3 linked regions of the Caenorhabditis elegans genome follow. The protein of the gene in region 1 interacts with the protein of each later gene in a pairwise test. Each region holds a gene or a part of one and is shown in the gene's direction. Other genes may lie near its edges. The genes, in order: ceh-6, somi-1 and zip-7.

Region 1 (6,699 bases):
TTTACAAAAATCAAATATAAATGAAAACCAATATACTTAAATTTTTACATAAATCCAACTAGAGTACCATTGAAATATCTATTTCGGTTATTCACAACAAAAACTCGATTCTAACTGAGTAAAAGATCATCCGAAGACAAGCGGAAATTGGCACAAGCTTTCAATCCGGCTTAGAGGAAAGCGAAATTCGAGATTTATTGAGTGGGAAGATATGGGGAAAAGTGAGAAAACGAACATCTTGCAGCTGGAGTCATAGTTACAGAAATCAAGACAAAACTTTTTTTCAAACAAAAAATAAAAAATTTATCGCGTTAATTTTGATTGATTTCAACTATTACTTGCAGATTAATAAAGTTTTGGAATACTAAAAATCTTGAAAAGCATCCAGACTTAAAAATATGTATGGGACATTTGCCTTATTTTGATCTACATAGTCACACTAGTATGAATATACAATCAAATTATAAAACATGTGCAATAAAACATGATGGAACTTCAGAAAAAAAAACTGGGTTAAACTAAGTGATAGGTCAGTTTAAGAGGCACATTTTCAACCGGAACTTCTTGACAGTTCACAGCAAATTTGAAACCAAATTTTGCAACTTTAGCGATGGAAATGTCTAAAGGATATTAAACAGCGGCAAATTTTCAAGTTGAAAGAAACGAACTCGAAATCTATTTTCCTGAAATAAAAAATATAGAAGGAACCTATCAGGGAATATAACGTCGGTGAGGAAATGAGGATGAAAGTGATGGAAGAAGAGAGAAAGGGGTGCGGGAAGAAGAGTTGAAATTCATTGCTCATGCAAATCTTATGCCGTGTGTCTCTGTATGTATTTGTATGTGTGAGTGCCTTCTTTTTCCAACCATTCTCATTCTTCGCCACCCTCATTTTTGTCTGTTTCCTTTATTCAGTTTTCGATCGTCTCAAGATTTTTGAGAAATTTCATGAAATTCGCTAGGTTTTCGATTTTTTCTACCTTCCAGAAGTAATTTTTTATTTGAAATATGTGTATTGTGTAAAGTTTTCTTGTTAAAAACTTACGGTGTCAACTTCCAACTGCTTTGGGATATTTTATTGCAAACATACACTTCTTTTTTTGTCTACTTTTCTGTCAGAAGAAAAATATATTCGAGTATGAATAACCACTGAATTTACTGTATTTTTTTAGTTTACAATCGATGAAGTTTTCAGCTGTATGGAAAAAAGATGGAAAAGATTTTTCACCAGGTTGTCAATACGTAACGCTCTTTTGCCAAAATCTATTGAAATTATTACATAATAACTATTATTTTAATTGTTATCAAGCGTTGGCTTTTTAATTACCGTCTTTCCTCTAATAGCATTACACTGTATTGCTCAACTTTGGCACCTCATATCTAGATTGTCTTTGGGTTGATCAAAATGTTAGCAACTAACAAAACATTGGGTATTTATTATCTATAGTTTTGTAAAAAAAATAAGTTGTAAAATACTTCAAAAGAACCGAAAAATAGGCTTTCAAAAAGAATAGGCGGATGCAAGATTTTACGATTGTTTTGAAACTTAGAAATCTTCCAATAATGTGTTTCTATAACTTTCAACACCTCTTCAAATAACTCCAAATAAATAAATGTATTTCTAGACACTAAACCCATATCTTCACAATTCTACAGCATCAATGTCTCATGACAGTAGGCGTGACCATCTTTACAAACATATCAAAGAATGGGCGTGTCCTGATGTCAATTCTCGTCGATTGGTTATACGATTACGGTGGCTAGACGAGACGCAGAAAGACCGCTTTCCTGCCAACACATTCCAAGTGGCTCCCGTGTGAAAAAGAGACGCAGCAAAAAGGGAAACGAAGAAGAAGAAGACCGCCCCTCTTTTGACTACTACCTCTTCCTTTTCTCTCTTCATTTTCAACACACACATCCCATCTTTTCCACAGTAGTGGCCACCCCGTTGCTCCTGGACTTCCCAACTGATGCTCATACCTTCGTCGTCATCCATACCGTCTTCTTTATCTGCTTCAGCATCCGATTCTGAGCCATCATCACTGAACGGAAGTGGTATAAGTGATCAGAATATTCTACCTAATTATCATCTTCATCATCATCTAATTAACGAGAACGAGATGGAGGCAGCCAATTATGCACAGGTTAGTTCTTCTTTTTATTCGTTTCCTCCCACAACTGATTTGATTCTGATGAGGACGACATTATACAGCGAGTAGGTCCAAAAAAGGAGGCAAGCGGGGGGGGGGGGGCACAGCATTTGAATTTCAATTTTATGCCAATAAGAATCAGCCCCTCGACTGCCCCATTCAGTTCTTCTACACTTGTTGCCTCAAACTCTAACAGTGTCTTACCGCTGTTACAAAGTTGTATATTGTACATTGTTCTGATAGATTGTTATTTTCTAGGCATAAAGTAACATTCATCTAGAAAATTAGTTGAGCTGATACTCCTATATTTTAAGGTGTCTCTGATAGTACCTCAACTGCTTGTAGATCGACAAATGATGTAGTTGTTTCTTTCATTTGTGTTCTGAAAGTATTAGGTGGAACCGTAAACCCAGAATTCTGATGTTCCTGGCAGTATAAAACTTTTTATATCCTAGACATAAAGTGCCAAGCTTCTGTAATTTAGTTGAGCTAAAACTTCAATAAAGTATTGTTTAGATTAACTACTTGTAGGAATGATAACAGGTAATCTAAATCTATATTTTCACTGGCATTAGGCTTTCATTTATACAATGTTTATTTTGTTATAAAAATTGTGAACTGTAACTCCAGATTTTTGAAATTCTTACAGAGCAGTTTTTTCATTGTGAAACTAAAATAATTAATTTGAAGTTGAAATATTAAACATTTGCTATTATAACTATAAAAAGGTCTACTAAACCGTCAAATTGGAAAATTGATTTCGAAATAATGTGGGGACTAATAAAAACTGCAAAAATTGTTTGGTGAAACCTTACCTACTTTTAGGAATAATCAACAATGCATTTAACTATAATTTTATAAAACTCTTTGAAATTTTTCTCATTGATGTTTTTTAACTGCCAATGACTTGGTAAAAGAAGTATAGAAGGCTTAAGAAACATTTTGGTCCTTGGTCAGTCTAGAATTCATGAAATCGGAGCCGTAATTTTTCATTATACTGGTTTGTAATTATATCCTTTTTAAACACCTCAATCAATATTTGTATTATTTTCCTATTCACTAATGTACCTTCCAAATATCCCAGAACAATACAGTATCACTAACACGAACTGCACGTCATCACATATCATTCTCTCTGTAAAACTTGATGACTCTTTTTCAATCCGATTATCAAAATTTCCGCCCTTTCTTCTGTTTCTAGTACATCTCTCTTCATGTACACAAACTACTACAGTACCCCTTGAGTCTCTCAAAGATCGTTGCATTCGTCTGTCTCCACGTAGATACCATGTATAATAGACTCATGAGAATCTTTGTGGGAAACAGTTATCAACAATTCAATATTATTTTGTCATGTGTGGAGCGAAAACCAACAGAAAAAGGAAGAGTTGATGATGTACTAGAGGGTAGAAAATTGGCAGATGTAGTCCCTAAGAAGGCGCCGTGCTAAAGAGGATTAAGATTGATTGGCCTCTTTTTTTCTCTAAGCTGGGTGTTCATCTGTTCAAGACTAAATTGGATCGAGGCCAAAATTGTAGGGCCAGAAAATTGAACGATTTTATATAAGCAGTGAGGGATGAAATAAGAAGCTCCGGGAACATTGTCACAGTTCATCAGAATACTTTTATTTCATTAATATGGCTGAACTTTCAAAAATTACTCGAAGGAGCTGCGACCCATAATGATGTTACATACAATCGTCTCAATCGATTAGATTTCATAATGAGATATTAAAAATCCTGATTTATGTTGCAAATTTGAACTGTGTGTTCCGTTTTTTCACTGATTTTTCACTGAATATACTTTTTTCAATTGGTAGGCGCACATACCATTTTGAATCCTTTAAAACAAGGAAAGTTATATCTTTTATTTTTAGCACACTTTTTAATAGTTTCGGAACGTTTCTTATTTCAAAAATATTTAATAAGCTGTCACTCGAAGTACCACGTATTTTCAAAAACGACATTACAATTCTAGCTGCAAAATGTTTCAGGTTATCAAACCAACATGCGAGGCATTCCAAGATTGGCCGCATACTCCAATGCTGTATCAACAACCTCAACTTCATTTCATGCTTCCACAACACGATTGGGCATATCCACATCTTGCTCAATCTCTACCTCCTCCACATCATCTAACACCGTCCACTGCAGCAGTTGCTGCTGCAACAATTGCCTCACAAAGTTCAATAATCAATCAAACGTCTGTGGTTACAAGTACACCTTCGTGCCAAATCAAACAGGAAGTTGAACGACCTGAAATTATTCAGAGGTTAATGCCTCCATGGCCACCAGCTTATCAATTTTCTTGTGATGATAGTGGATCAGTGAGTGGAGCTGGTGGACCACATCAGCCATTATCTGATATTTCCGATGATAGTGAACAGACGTGTCCAGATGATTTGGAAGGATTTGCAAAACAATTTAAGCAGAGAAGAATCAAATTAGGGTGAGTGAAAATTTTAAATGTTCTCTACACATAACTGTAAAAAGTTAAACTTTTGAAAATAACAATTTCGATATCTCAAACATTTCGAGGCAACGTTCTGTCAACCAGCTGGTACAATGCCAAAGTTGGGCAGAAAGTTATCCTCAAATTCTGATCAAATTGGAATTTATCAGTTGGCAATTCCTCATATTCTTTCATTTTCATGTTCTTCAATTTCCAGATACACACAAGCAGATGTAGGTGTGGCTCTCGGAACACTCTACGGAAATATATTTTCCCAGACAACAATTTGTCGTTTTGAAGCGCTTCAACTCTCTTTCAAGGTTTGTTGACTTTCATCCACATGACTTTCAACGGAAACTGTTTCTTGTTGCCGACTTTTCTATGTTTTAATTGAATTTAATTTCGTTATAGAATATGTGCAAACTAAAGCCACTTCTATTCAAATGGCTCGAGGAAGCTGATTCAACGACTGGCTCGCCCAATTCTACATTTGAAAAAATGACAGGGCAAGCTGGAAGAAAGAGAAAGAAGAGAACAAGCATTGAGGTAGTTTGTGTTTAAAACTGAAAAATGTTATATACCGGTGTTTCAGGTCAATGTAAAATCTCGTCTTGAATTCCATTTCCAGTCGAATCAGAAGCCAAATGCACAAGAGATTACACAAGTTGCCATGGAGTTGCAGCTTGAGAAAGAGGTAAGGATATTTTTCTATTTTCCGGAATTTTTATTACTGTGAACTTCGAATTTTTTTTACAGTAACTTGACAATGATTTGAGATTTTGATTATTATGAATGAGATTTTGATTATTAATTCATTTAATTAAAGTGTTTCTCTACAAAAAAAAGTGTCCCAATAAAATATAAAGTTTAGGTTTAAGTTTAGTTTAGTACGGTTTAAATACCGTTAATTAAAATTGCAAATGTAGAGTGTGAAAAGGGTGAAGAATGAGGCAAGTGAAAGGGGCGCCTGGAGCAAGTTAAACGCCTACCTCATTAAATTTTTCTGAAACTTCACTTTCTCAAAAGTATAATTTAGGTTGTCCGTGTCTGGTTCTGCAATCGTCGTCAAAAAGAGAAGCGAATAGCTCCAAATCAATACGATGCTCCACATCCAATGGCTTTAAACAATGGATATCCAATGACTGCTGACCTTTTCCCATATCAAGCCGTCGTCAATCATTATACTCAACAGAGCCCGAGACAACAATAGTTTTTTGTGATGCGTATTGATGTAGCAGTAATATAATAATAATAATACTCAAATGAATCACCGGTAATTTATAATGACAGAAAGTTTAATAGTTTTCAAACATCCTTCTCTGAAGAAGACCAACAGTATTTCTTTTCCCCTATTATTTTTTTTGATACAATCCTCTTCACTTCTCACATCATTCTGAAAATGGGTATTCGTTTTTTACAATTATTAATTAGTTCTATTGTGTATCATTTCTAAATTAGTTTCCAAACTTTTTATTTTGTTCGAATTCATTTATTTTATAAATATCTGTACGTTAAAATGGAAGTAGCATATTTTAATTTAGATGTCTGCTGAATATAATTATATATAACTGTCTTTTTTCAGAGTAGGTAAAAATCAGAATTTAAAAAATTCAAAAAAGGAAATTTGATCTAGAGCATAAGCTTTCGAATAACTCATATAACTTTAAAGTTTTAAAAAAGTTCAAAATTTTCAATTTTGCAAATAAAACTGAAAATTACTGAATTAATGTATTTCTCAATTGGACTTGCACACTTTTGCTCTATTATGACAGCTGTATCCGTTATCATTGTCTCAGTTGTCTCTGCATTTATCAAAAATTGTCAACTGTAAAAAGACGTGCAAAATTTTTCTCTATATTTTAATTATTACAACTTTTTGATAACAGTTAAGACATCCGATAAAAGTCTATAAGTCGCCGAGCCGTTGGGGGAAAATCTACTAGAACAACTACGGTAGTTTTGAATTCCCGCACAAATGAATGACCTAGTTGTGGGAATTTCATAAAAATTAGAAATTTGAATTTTTTGCAAATAGGAATAATAATCATAAAAAATTAGAACAATTCTAAAAATTTTAAAAATTTTATTAAGCTATAAC
Region 2 (7,627 bases), on another chromosome or scaffold:
CAAACGAATTGAACTTTATGTTTCACAGTTCGAACAGCTTTCACAATTTCTTGAATTTTTGAAACTTCCTCGAAGTTTTGAAAATTCAAAATTTTCTGTACCTTAATATTATGTACCTTAATAATAACTTAATATTAATGTAGACGTTTTAGTTTTAAGTGAACTTATATAGCTCAAGTGAAAATGAAAGCATCATAGAACTAAAAACTTTTTTGCAAACCTTAATTGACCGAGGTTATGTGGATAAATGCTGGCCCAATCTATTATTTTTTCAAATTCTTTTTCTGATTAAAACCACCGCTCTGAGCATCAAAAATCTGATTTTATAAATATGAAGGTACTTAGACAGGTGTAGCCAATGTGACAGTGAACCACCACATGCGCATTATAATCTGACCTCTCCAATTACCGCAAAGCATAGAGATGAACCCAAACCAGAAATAATTTGTGCCATACATTTGATATACCCAGAAAATGTTGAGCAAGAGCTTCAATATGGCACATTCAGGCCATGTTCTGTTTTATATCAATGATTCGGTAAAAAACTGAAAAAAATTCTTCCGTGAAATTGAATTTGAGCATATTGTTCAAAGAGAGTGTAAGAGAAAAATTAAATGACAATTCCCAACCCGAGTAAAATCAAAACCTAAAATCATAGATGTTTTTTTATTTTATAAAATTTTAATAAAAAACAAATTTTCAACAATATTCCAAATATTTTTTTCATTAAATTTTTTCCCTAATTTAAATGAAAAATATCCGATTCCAGTACAGTAGGAACCTTTGTTTCAAAACTACGTGCTTCAAGGATATTTTCTCGCAAAAAATATAGTTTTTCAAGGTCTTAAATATTGCGTGATTAGCGCGGCGATTCTTTGCTTTTTGTTTGACCAGTAGAAGCAGTGAGAATAGCAGCAAAACTATCCAATGTCGCTAACTTAACTTCAACCTTGAATTTCTATGGCTTTTCACATTTCATGTGACCAGTCGGTTGTGTCCACACACACACCATGACTTTGCGCGAAATGTTTCACCTTTTCACGACGGAGATCGACGATTTTTCGTCCCCTTCCGTTTGACTAGACTACTGTAAAAAATATTGTTGGAGGGAGAGTGTGGTGACTGCTGTTGCTTCTGTTGCTTCTATTGCTGGTGGTGGAGACTAGCGGATGGCATGGAACAAAATGTCAAATAAGTGAGTTTGTTCGTCTCAACAAGAGCCCGCATACACATCGAGCGTCTAACACAAATTTAGTTTTCGGGAGGGGCTTGTAGAAGACTTCGACGCTACATCTACATCCGGAGCCCTTCGCCATGCAATTCGGACGACTGATTTGGTTATTGAAAGCATGGGGCAAGAGCTAGAAACTACCAGAAGCTACTTTTCCTTTAAAAAATTCTGACAAAAGAACAGAGAGAGGATACCGTGGGAAAATCGGAAAAAGTTCATCATCTGTGTTTTTCCTTCTTCTTCTCTTTTCCTCCCATTTCTCCTTTCCCTTTCATTTTCAAATTGGTCACTCTTCCTCTATTTCTCTTTATATTTTAGTCTCTCTTTTATCTTCCTCCCTCTATCCCTTTCTTGACCCTTTCCCTCGTTTTTTTCTTTCCCATTTTCTTCACCTCCGTCTTCTCTCCTGAAAGAGATGATAGAAAATGATCATAATCTTACAGGGAGTTGCATGCTCAAACCACCCATTATCACCAGCAACGACAATAACAACACAAAAGTGGCTGAAAACTTGAATGATTTGAATAATAAGGTATGAACTCACTAACCTACACTGAAGGATACGGTCATAGGTCCAATCATTCCAAAAGCTCCGCCCATTAACCTTGGGTGCCCCAATGTCCATTGCACTGATAAAACATCAGACAAGTGGTGGGAGGGAAGAGAAGAGCCGTGGCGCTCCCCCATAACGTCTCTAAGTCTCCAAGAAAGAATACTGTAGGTATGTGGGTAGTTGTAGGAGGCACAGGAAGACCTTGAACCGATAGCATGCATCGTTAGGGTAAGGAAATGTGATACCATCTCGCAACATTCTCCTCTCTACGTCTCCACTTACTACGGGTTACTACTACTACGATTTTTCTTACCTTACATGAAAGTTTCTATATTTCAACAAAATTTTTCATTAGCTTTTTTACTTTTTTTAAGTCGAAATTCCAGAACATTCATAGACCATTCGCTGTCATATATTTCTCCGGCAAATTAGCTTCGACCGCCGCCATCTTAAGCATTAAAAGTTAATTTGACCTTTTGTCCCCCTCTCGGTTTTCTCTTTTTTCATGAAAAAGTTTGATTTACGAGCGTTGTCTTGTGACCAGTTGGAATTTCCAAACTTCCAACTTTTACTTTTTATTTTTGTGACTATAGAGGCCACCGGATTATGATAATAGTGATAGAACTTAAATTGTATATGCAAATTTTCGAAAAAAGTTCTAGAGCGGTTAGTAGTTTTTCCATAGTTCTGGAAGTTTTGTTATACGTGTTTGAGAATAAAAATTCAGCTGCTTGAATTTGAATGTTAATAATTTTTTTAAATTTCAAAATTCATGAAAGCTTAAAAACTACCATTTCTAAATTTGTGAATAAGGCCACGTTTGTTTTTTTTTAAATGGTTATCAAGCTTTGGGGTACGGATACTACGTAAGTTTTTCTATTACAAATTCCAAAGGCCCAATTAATTTTGTGATAATTTTCTAAAAATCATTAACTATTTTATAGCAAGATCAATCTAGACCAGAACACGTACGAGCTTTCCGAGTAATTACTTTTTATTTTAGGAAACAGGATGTTTCTGATTATTTTTGTATTCTGGATTTAAAAATTTAAAGATCTGTCATATATTTGCTGGAAAGGTTCAAATTCAATAGATTTCACATCTTCTCGGCGTTTGCCGCCAGCTTCCTACCCAAAGCTTCGCAACTTCTTACCCAAGCCTTGCCCAAAAAATAAAAACATTTATAAGGAGTTGCCAAGACTTGGCTAAGACTTGGGCAAGACACGGGCGAGGGAGTTTACACTAGAATTGTTGAAGTTGGGTAAGACTTGGGCATACTCTGGGTTAGAAGTTGGCAAGAGTTGGGTAAGAAGCTGAAAAGGTCCAAACTTGGGGAAGAAGCTGCCGGGAATTGCCGAGATTATACTTCTGAAGCACTAAACTACATTATTAGTCTGTCTCATTTTTTTCTTTTAAAGCTCACGAATTTTTTATTAAACTCAATTTCTCAAACTTCTCCTTATCTTTAGTGTCCACCACATTGCGCTCCCCCCAATCAACGCAGCTTTCTTTCCATCGACCCTCCAATCATTTCCATGATCACTTTTTATCACGTCTGATTTACTCTCCTCTGGTTGATTCATTAATCTTCCCCTTCTCTACCTAAATTATTTTTCTCTATGTTCTCCGAACCATCCATACTGTTTACTGGTTCCCTTATCTTCCCACAGAATCAGTAGCCACTTGTACCTCTCGCGCGACACCTTCTCAGACTCGAGTACTTTTGAGGCATACAAGAGTACAAAAATACTGATCTAGGTCATTGTGAAGTATAATAATTGAACATTTTTCAGGGGAAAATGTCTGGTCAACAGATTGAATCCTTCTCACCTTGGCACGCTCAAACGTCGTCGTCAGCCGTTACAGGAACATCAGAACTGTTTGGATCCACGTATGCGATGTTGAGTGATCATTCTGTCTATCCAGAACAATGGTCTGGAAAGCAATTATCTCAATCAGTTCTTTTCGAGCAACCCCAAATTCAACCATTGGTTGGTAATTCCTATGATCCTCCAGTACGATTTGATCCACCATATGCTTACCGTGCCACTGCGACAGGTTACATGCCAACAGTACCAGGGCTTTCTACAAATTCAAGTCCATATTATCCAAGGACATCCGGTTATGCCGCTGGCCAACAATTTTATGCTCCATCTCTGTCCGGTGTACCAAATACTCAACAGCTTATATTGGCTGCTCAAGTTGCACAAGCAAGTAATGTACAACAACAATTACAACAACAAGTTCTTCGACCTGAACCACTTCGACCGGCGACACAAAAATCTACGAATGGAGTGCATAGAAGCACCAGTAACAGTAGCGCAGAAACATTAAGGAATAATTCTGTTTCAGCTGCAACTGTTTCACCCTCAGACGATGTGAGTTTTCATTTGAAATTTTATAATTAAAAAGTGTTAGCTTGTTGCATTGCTCATCTTCTGCAGATCATATCTTGAAAATTTTTTTTTAATCAATAAGTGAGCTGACAAAATATTTGATTTTTTCTACAGCACTGTAGTTAAATTTTTTTAAATGAAATCTCTAACAGAAACCAAGCAATAAGTTGTAAAAAGAGACTGAAATAAGGCTATGTAGCTGGAAAAGTTGACTAAGCTTTTATTAAATTATCTCTAGAAATAATACATAAAAATATGGGAATGGTATATTTCTACGATATTTGTTTTATGATATTTGATGTAAATTTTGATAAATCTAATTTAACTACATAGTTTAGATTGTCGGATTGTAGGACATCAAAGAGAAATATTTATTTTCCTGTATATATTGCTAAATATACCATTTTCAGAATTCTCTGAATAGTCCCGCTTTGACGTCATCTGGATCCGCTGGCTCAGGAACTCCACCACTCGGGATTGATCTAAACAACACTGATCTCGAAAGCGGTGACGAAGAACGCGTGATGTGTATGGCTTGTCGAGGTGTCTATCCATCACGTCGAAGTCTCACGGGGCACATTGGACGAAATGAGAAGTGTCGTGAAATAATTGGCAGAAACTATTTAGATGCCCTTGCGCAAGGTGTGAATCCACCGATCCCTGGTACTGATGCAGCTATCAAGTCTGGAGCAATAACCACCGGAGCCGATGGAATGTCACCAGTTTGCCCGTTTTGTGATCGATTTATTAGTCATTACAAAGGAAACATCAGAAGACATATAAATCAGTGTCGAAAGAGTGCAGAGCCAATGAAAAGGCATCGAGTTGAAGCTCATGAAAAACAATCTCCAAAAAAGAAGGTAAAGAAGGAACAAAATGAAATGTATCAACATGAATACAATGATCATGATTCTTCTTCAATGAGTGGTGGAATGATGAATTCACCAAAAATTTCACCTCCATCTTCCTCATTCTATGGAGCCAACTCTTCAGACTTGTGCTCTCCAGGAGAATATTCCAATTCCGCATACGAACCATACCCGACACCAATGCTCGAGAACACAGAAAGAACATCAACAGAAACTGCAGTACTTCAAGATGCCTATATCTGCGAAGATTGTGATTTTGTGACAGTGTACAAGGGAAACATGAAACGTCATTTAAACACGTGCCATCCGCAGCCTGAATTTAAAAGTTTGAAAGGTAATAGTATCGAGATCGACCCAAACGGTTACTTTTTTCAGAATGGGATCAAAAGTTGGAAGGAATGCGAGCTTCGAATCTTGGAATCAGTGGAGATCGGCTACAGGAACGATTGGCAGCTCATAAAGCAAACTCCTCGAGAGGAAGGAAGCCACGAAAGAAGAAGGAAAACAACACAGAAGAGGTTTGTTTTTTTTGTTAGTGAATTGTTTAAATTTAAAATTTTAAATGCAAAAAAAAATTTCAGCTGGATAATTAATTTATCCTGAAAGTTGTTATTAAAATTCCAAATTTCCGTTTGACTGACTTGTATTCAGAAGGTCTTTCTTTTCGACCTACGAAAATTTCGGGAAATCCATTATTCAGTGACGTGTTCATTTACTGAAGTCTAACAGTAAAACTCGTATGACCTCATGCCATCAAAAAATTATCCTTAATGTTCAATATTTCTGTAAACTCTGAAATTTGATGTCCTAGCCTACTCTTTTTTTTCAAAAATTTTGCCTTTATCCCGACTAATTAACAGAAACAAACCACACATGATTCTTTCAAATGTAAAATACAGTCTACTTGAAAAAAGTTGTTTACCTGCCACAAAAACGTAAAAACTAGTAGCCGAGTAGTACTAACTAATCAATTTTGTACTATAGGTTTTGTTGATAAACTATACTGAAGTTAAAAGACCGGAAGCTCATTTAGATACTGTAGAATTCTTGAGTGTTTCGAATGAAAACAAAAATGAGGTAGTTAAAGGGAATGGATGCTTTCATTTGTAAATTAAACAAAAAATTGATTTTAAAAAAATTGAAAATCTTGACAAAATTAAGACAATTTTCTCTCATTGTCAATAAAAAATGTACATCAAAGATGAATATTGTTTCTTTTTCAGAGCGAATCAATTGATTTCAAGAACATTCTCAACTCGGAAACTGGTGCTCTTCTTGAATCGTTAGCATCCAGTTCATCTTCAATGGGAGGATATTCCAATGGAAATAACTTCCAACCACCACCTCCACCCCCACCAATGCTTTTGTAAATATTCTCTAAAATTTCTATTAAAGGTTTTCATCTAAAATGCTCAATTTTTAACTTTCCGTTTTATCAACTATTCAATCTGTCATCGTATTCTGATACATTTTGACAAAGGCAACGATTTTGTCTCGGTCCATCAACATATCTCATTCCACGTTTCAACTCCGTATGCTCATGACGTTTCTTTTGCCACGTCATCTTTCATCTCTTCTGTTCATTTCTTGCTCTAATCTTTCTCTCCCCCAACGATGACCAGTGCCATGTTTTGTGATTAGCAACAAACCGTCTAGTTAGCTTCTCAGAGATTTTTATGTTTAGAAAACCCCCTACCATTACCAATTGTTTGTATCTCTCGCTAGGTCCACACACATTTCACAAAATCCTCTTGTTTTCTCCCGGCTTATTTCCTTGTTCCCTTTATTCTTTCTTTCCTCTTCAAATTTCTACTTTTTATCTACTCAGGTGCTACTCTAAATATATAATTTTTGCCAACATCCTTATCCACAAAATAGGAAACAATTTTTCTATTGATTTGCCATCATTTTATGAAAAGACTTTTATTCTCATTTTAAGATGAACAATTTTCTCAAAAAAATGTTTGAATTTGTTTACAAGGAATAGAAAGTCGAACATATGACCGCCCAGTATCGTGGTAGTATCATGAACAATTCACGATACGGGGTCTTCACAGCAACTAGAATATTCATAATTTGGTAGGCACGCGATTTCATTTAATGTTTGATAGATTCATTTCATTTCACGAGAGTAGATTCCTCTCTGCAGCTGTTCAAAAAACTTCTCAAAATGGTAAGATTCTAATAAAATTGAAAAGAAAACAGTCCTTTCAATATCCCGTATTTAATTTGAGTTTATGTGTAGAATTCGTCCGTTTAAAACTTAGAATATTCTAAAGCGGAAATTAATTCCGCACTATATTTTATAGAATTCAATAATTGGCGAAAGTGTTCTTCTGTTAAAGAAATTATTACTTTCATAACTTGTTTCAGTTTGGTTTCATTCATGAAAGTATTCGACAACTTGTTATTCGAAAATATGGTGAAGATGTGTGGTTGCAAGTTCTGTGAGTTTCAAAAGTTTCAAGATAAAAATTATTTGATTACTATATACTTTTTCGAGTTTCAATACTTCAATTACAATTAAAATCATGGTTTTACAATGAATAAAACATTTCCAGTGAGCGATCTGGATTTG
Region 3 (5,354 bases), on another chromosome or scaffold:
TAATTGTCAATTTAAAATTTAAAAATATCTTAAAAACTAAAAAAGCTATTGAAAAATCGCTAACCACAAAATTATAGAAAATTAAATTTTCCACAAATTCGCAGTTGACAACTTTTTCCAAATTTATCCGGAACCAAGATAGACGTATTAGAAGTTGGTAGTGGCCGAGGTTTTTCACCTCCACGGCCACAAGGCCAACACCCCCCAACTCATTATACCCCCGTGGTCCTAATGTGGTAACGCAATAATCTGTGTGTGCGTATGTTCAAGTACACATACCCCAAAAACTTGCGTAATTTCTTTGAATTTACCGCTATTCTGACATACGGAAATTTGAATATTATCGGGGGAAACGCGTGAAAACGTATTGAATGGAAAAAAATGTTGAAAATAATTTTAATTTTTTCGTGAAACTGGGAAATAATTTTCAAAAAAAACGTGTTTTTTTTTCAAAGTCGCCAACTAAAAATCAATAATCGAAAAAATCAGTTTCGAATTTTGTTTAAAAATTCCATTCCACTGAAACGAAGAAGAAGCCAAATGATTGCACAAGTCAGTTTAAGCCTGCCTGCCTGCCTGCCTGCAAAAAATGCTCCGAAATTTACAGCTCGTGCTTCCAATTCTTGTGATTTTCGGATCTCTGGTGATGAATTGTGGCGGAAAGAAGAAGAAGTCAGCAAATTCTCCGGAAGGAACAAATAAATCAAAGTTAGGGGCTCCAAAGGAGAAGAAGGATGAAACTGTGAGTTGTGTGACCGCGACGCGACCGCAACGCGACCGCAACGCATTGTTTAATTAATTTTGCTGATTTGGGATACGTACCACAGGTTTCTGCCTTCCCTCCTATTCTGAAATGTAAGAGTTTTGCCGAACTAGGCCATTTTGGCTCAGTAGATTTACGGGGCGTTGCGTGTCGCGTCGCGGCTCGGATTTGTCCGTGTGAAGTACACGACACTTTCCCACGCGTTGTCCGGCAGGCGATTGTCAATAGAGCGCGAATAATGCAATGAGGAAGGTCCTACTTTTAAAGAAACAATTCTGATTTCAGGAAGGCAACTACGAGGAGCTCGCCGTGCCACAATAATTTTCAGGATTCTCATTTTTCACTTGAATAAACCAGTTTTATTGGGATTTTTGTGTTAATTTTTGAATTTTTGAATTGGTGCCTGTTTCATGTGAAGCATTTAACAAGTGGAATTTACAAGGGAAAATTGTTAGCAAGTTGAAGTACGAGCGTTTTTTACAGAAGAAGTAGTATCTCCTCAGCCATTGTAGCTATCAAAAAGTTGTCAACTGGGAAAATATTTATAAATTTATGTTGAACATTTTTTTAGTTGGCAACTTTTCACTAGCTCCGATACTTTTTCAGTTATGGTAGTTTTTCGCGCAAAACTCCAACTAAAATTACCGATTTTTAAGTTTGAAGGCTTATATCTCCTTAGCTATTGAAGTTATCAAAAAGATTTTAACTATGAAAATATTGCAAAATTGATTTTAAACATTTTGTTGGTTGACAACTTTTTATTAGCTCTTACACTTTTCAAGTTATGCCCAGTTTTCCCCACGGAACTCCAAGACATGCCCACCTATTGCCACCTCGTTATACATTTAGGACCACCACCAATCTCTTTTGCGGTACATTATTCAACTAACAGCAGACGGTAGTTAGTTAGTTAGAGAACAACGACGCAACGATTGCGCCATTACAGTTCAAATCATCATAAAAAGAGCCGCCCGTCTTTAGAGACCCCGTGGGCAAATGGGGGAGGAGGCGGGTCTAGTAGGGCCTGTAGAGGTGTCCTGTTTGCGTGCAGACTTTTTCTCAGCATGCGGTAGCTCATAAGTTCCGGTGTAATAGTTTGGTAACTGTTGAGTAATACGGTTTTGGTTTTGAAAATTTAAAAAAAATTCTGTTTCAAAAAAATTTGTTTTATTATAATTTTTTTCAACTTATTACTGTGTTCTTTGGAAGCTTTTTCCTAAATTTCTAGCCATTTTCCACCAATTCTCCACCAATTTCCAGATTATTTCCAGATGATGACAGACATTCAACAGCAGCTGGCTGCCTCGAGAATGTGTGATTCGGATTCTATAAAGGCATTCAATCAGATGTACGCACAGAATCCGTATGGAGCAGGAGCTTTTGATAAGGTTTGTAATTTTTTTTGGAATTTTTCTGAAATTTGAAAAAGTAAAAAAATTTTTTTACTGTTTCAAAAATGCTTTTTAACAAAAAATTAAATTTTTTTCTTAGAACTACTCCGCAGCCACTGCTCTCCCATTTTTTGCTCAACATTTCGCGCCATACGCGAATCCCCATGCCACGTCATCTTTTTCCCCGTCATCGTCTTCCACGTCATCCACCACGTCGTCTCAAAATCAGCAGAGTGGCAGCAGTGGGAGTAAGAAGAAAAAACCGGTTCCGGTGCCGGAAAATCAAAAGGATGAGGTAAGAGATTAAATGGCCGAGAAATGAGAAAACTCGGCCACCAGAAAAAAACGGCCGATCTGCTAGTGTTAGATGTGGCCGAGAAAAAATGGCGGCCGAGGTTTCCTGGATTCCTTCTGCCACAGGGTTCTGGTTTTCCTCATTGAATGTTTCGCGCTCCATTGACAATCGCCCGCCGGACAACGAGTGGGAGAGTGTCGTGTACTCCACACGGACAAATCCGAGCCGCGACGCGACACGCAATGCGACGTAAATCTATCCCAGATATGGCCGAGCCAAAATGGCCTAGTTCTGCAAACTCTTCCATTTCAATTTATGAGGCCAGAAAACCGTGTTCTGCTATGAAAATTGAACTGTTTTTTTTAATTTCCGCTGGTTTTCAAAGTGGTGGCCGAGTTTTTTCTCTAATTTCACTGCCACGAAGTTGAAAAATTGATTTTTTTAAACTGAAAATAGAGTTTTTTTCTGATTTTTCAGTGAAAAAACGTTATTTTGGACCAATTTTGCTGATTTTTCTCGTATTTTGCATTTAAATCGAGATAAGTTGACAATTTTAATGTAAAATACAAAAAAAATCAGCAAAAAAGATCCAAAATAAAGTTTTTTAGCCGTATTTTTCTTAAAAAGGCGTATGAATTAAAAAGTCGTATGAATTTAAAAAGTCGTATGAATTAATAGCTAGCCACGTGTCGATTTACGGAGGCCGTGTACTCCTCGTGGAGTTGATTTCTCTGGGTTTTCGTTTGAAAAAAGTATTTTTATGCCAATTTTGCTGATTTTTCTTGTATTTAACGTTTGAATCGGCAATTTTTGAGTTAAAAACTATAAATTATGTCATAAAATGACAATTTACCATCAAAATCCAACAAAAATCAGTGAAAATTGGCCAAAATCAAGCTTTTCAGCCGTTTTTTTTTCTTCAAAAAACCAGTGTAAACTCTTCCACGAGGAGTACACGAGCTCCGTAAATCGACAGCTAATAGTCCAAAATCCTCTCGAATAAATCCAATTTTCCAGGCCTATCTCGACCGGCGCCGCCGAAACAACGAAGCCGCCCGTAAATCCAGAGAATCTCGCAAGAAAGTCGATCAGGACAATAGTGTTCGTGTAACATATTTGGAGAGGGTACGTTTTCAAAATTTCCCATAGATAATAATCCTTTGCATCATTTTTTTTGGCGGGTTTTTTTTTCCAAAAAAGGGCTTAATTGATGACGTCATCAGTCAACAGGTGTCAGCCTGGCTACGCAATAACTTTGAGAACGCGCCCACGCCGACTTTTCCCAATTTTTCAATAAATTTCGGGAATATCAGATGGCTTTTTGTAGATAACCGACACTTTTAAAAGTACTTTTTGATAGTTTTGCAAACGCGCTCTAGTGCACACGTACAGTAACGTTTGTTCCCTTAATGGTGTTCCACTTTTCGATATGTTCACCAAGAATGGTGTTGGAAAGATTTGTTGGTTTGGAGCAGTAGGTAGTGGACGCAGTTCGGTGTGAGCACTCGTTGGATCAATTCCAGGGAGTGGCTTTTCTTTTTTGTTTCGTTAAAGTTTAACTTTACTTTTTTTTCGGACTAAAAATAAAGAGTAACTCTGATAAAAGGCTTAGTTCTGACGGCATAAAATTTTTATCAATCAATTAATAATTATTTTTTCTCCAGGAAAATCAATGCTTGCGAGTCTACGTCCAACAGCTCCAACTACAAAACGAATCGATGAGACAACATTTGCTCCTGCAAAATCCGGGCACTATAGACACTATGGACCCGATTGCCATGGCGAATATGCCGAGTTATTAAGCTTCTCCCCTCCCACACAAAATCATCTCATTCTTGCACACACATTCAAATCCTTGCTTCTGTATCGAATTTCCACACACCACCCTCTCATTGCGTCACTTTTTTTTTGTAATTTTCTGTAAAAATATAGCTATTTTTGAAGAAAAATGCATTTTTTCAAAAAAAATAAATGAGCGACTACGGTAAGCAATTCCGAGTCTGCAAACACCGTCACGGCAGAATGCACAGAAAAACTCATTTTCAAATTATTTTTCGCTCAGTTTTCGCTAATTTCTCCGAATTTTCGCGTTTTTTCTTTAATTTTTGTTAGTTTTTGATTGTATTTTGTCGATTTTTCACTCTTCGAAGCTGTACCGACTGTAATTTGACACTTTCCGCACGAAAAAATGAGAAAAATCTCAGAAAATAGGTGTATTCAGATTTTTCCCCATTTTCCTCCGATTTTCTGGGCATTTTCTGGGCATGTTTTTCAAGCTAAATTCGCTGATTTTCGAGCTAAAGCAACTTTAAAATCCAAATTCTCTAATAATAAAACAGTTTTTCAGCTTACTCGACTTTTTCCCGGAAATTTCTGAATTTTGCTCATTTTCCGAGGTATTCGTGGATTTTCCTCCCGCTTTTGACCAGAATTAATGCTGAAATTCAATTTTTCAGCTAATTGTACCCTAAAATTGGACGGAAAAATGATTTTTCCATTATTTTCCCGGCAAAGCATCACCTGAGTGATTTTTACTACTTTTTCGACGGAATATATAACGTTTTCAGTAATTTCTCGTTAAATTTCCCAAAAAACTCGTTCAAAATGCTGGAAAAAGTCGAAAAAACTCGAAATTCCAAGAAAAACCAGTTTTGAATATTTTCCCGGGGGGTACGGTAGATTTCGTCGTGTGCAAACACCGTCACGGCAAATTGCACAGAAAAACTCATTTTCAAATTATTTTTCGCTCGTTTTCTCTGATTTTCTGCATTTTTTCATTTTTTCTATAGCTTTTTCATGATTTTTTCGGGTCTAAACATCTAAAAATCACTAAAATTGCATAATTCCGCCGATTTTTCAGCGCTTAGAATGCATTTTTCAGCAGGAAAGGAAGAAAATTGATTGA

The links.
Region 2: the proteins of ceh-6 (region 1) and somi-1 interact in a two-hybrid assay, tested with the Caenorhabditis elegans proteins (one large-scale study listed by BioGRID).
Region 3: the proteins of ceh-6 (region 1) and zip-7 interact in a two-hybrid assay, tested with the Caenorhabditis elegans proteins (one large-scale study listed by BioGRID).

Annotation. Positions count from the first base shown.
Region 1 is NC_003279.8:8,497,532-8,504,230, reverse strand, and holds ceh-6 (Homeobox protein ceh-6), read left to right. Parts: upstream 1-1,626; 5' UTR 1,627-1,970; coding exon 1,971-2,144; intron 2,145-4,143; coding exon 4,144-4,598; intron 4,599-4,818; coding exon 4,819-4,921; intron 4,922-5,012; coding exon 5,013-5,147; intron 5,148-5,193; coding exon 5,194-5,295; intron 5,296-5,637; coding exon 5,638-5,811; 3' UTR 5,812-6,119; downstream 6,120-6,699. UniProt on the Caenorhabditis elegans protein: Vital for embryonic development and essential for the proper function of the excretory cell. Required for the transdifferentiation of the Y rectal epithelial cell to the PDA motor neuron during larval development.
Region 2 is NC_003283.11:13,385,441-13,393,067, reverse strand, and holds somi-1 (Zinc finger protein somi-1), read left to right. Parts: upstream 1-1,672; 5' UTR 1,673-1,682; coding exon 1,683-1,763; intron 1,764-3,577; coding exon 3,578-4,162; intron 4,163-4,590; coding exon 4,591-5,383; intron 5,384-5,424; coding exon 5,425-5,567; intron 5,568-6,272; coding exon 6,273-6,419; 3' UTR 6,420-7,006; downstream 7,007-7,627. Other genes in the region: Soluble guanylate cyclase gcy-34, read left to right, coding at 7,220-7,222, 7,423-7,496, 7,611-7,627. UniProt on the Caenorhabditis elegans protein: DNA-binding protein which binds to the promoters of let-60, lin-14 and lin-28, possibly to regulate genes involved in hypodermal and vulval development.
Region 3 is NC_003282.8:16,502,350-16,507,703, reverse strand, and holds zip-7 (BZIP domain-containing protein), read left to right. Parts: upstream 1-2,021; 5' UTR 2,022-2,034; coding exon 2,035-2,151; intron 2,152-2,254; coding exon 2,255-2,449; intron 2,450-3,466; coding exon 3,467-3,574; intron 3,575-4,113; coding exon 4,114-4,251; 3' UTR 4,252-4,794; downstream 4,795-5,354. Other genes in the region: Y51H4A.935 (uncharacterized protein), read left to right, coding at 541-552, 608-742, 1,049-1,084.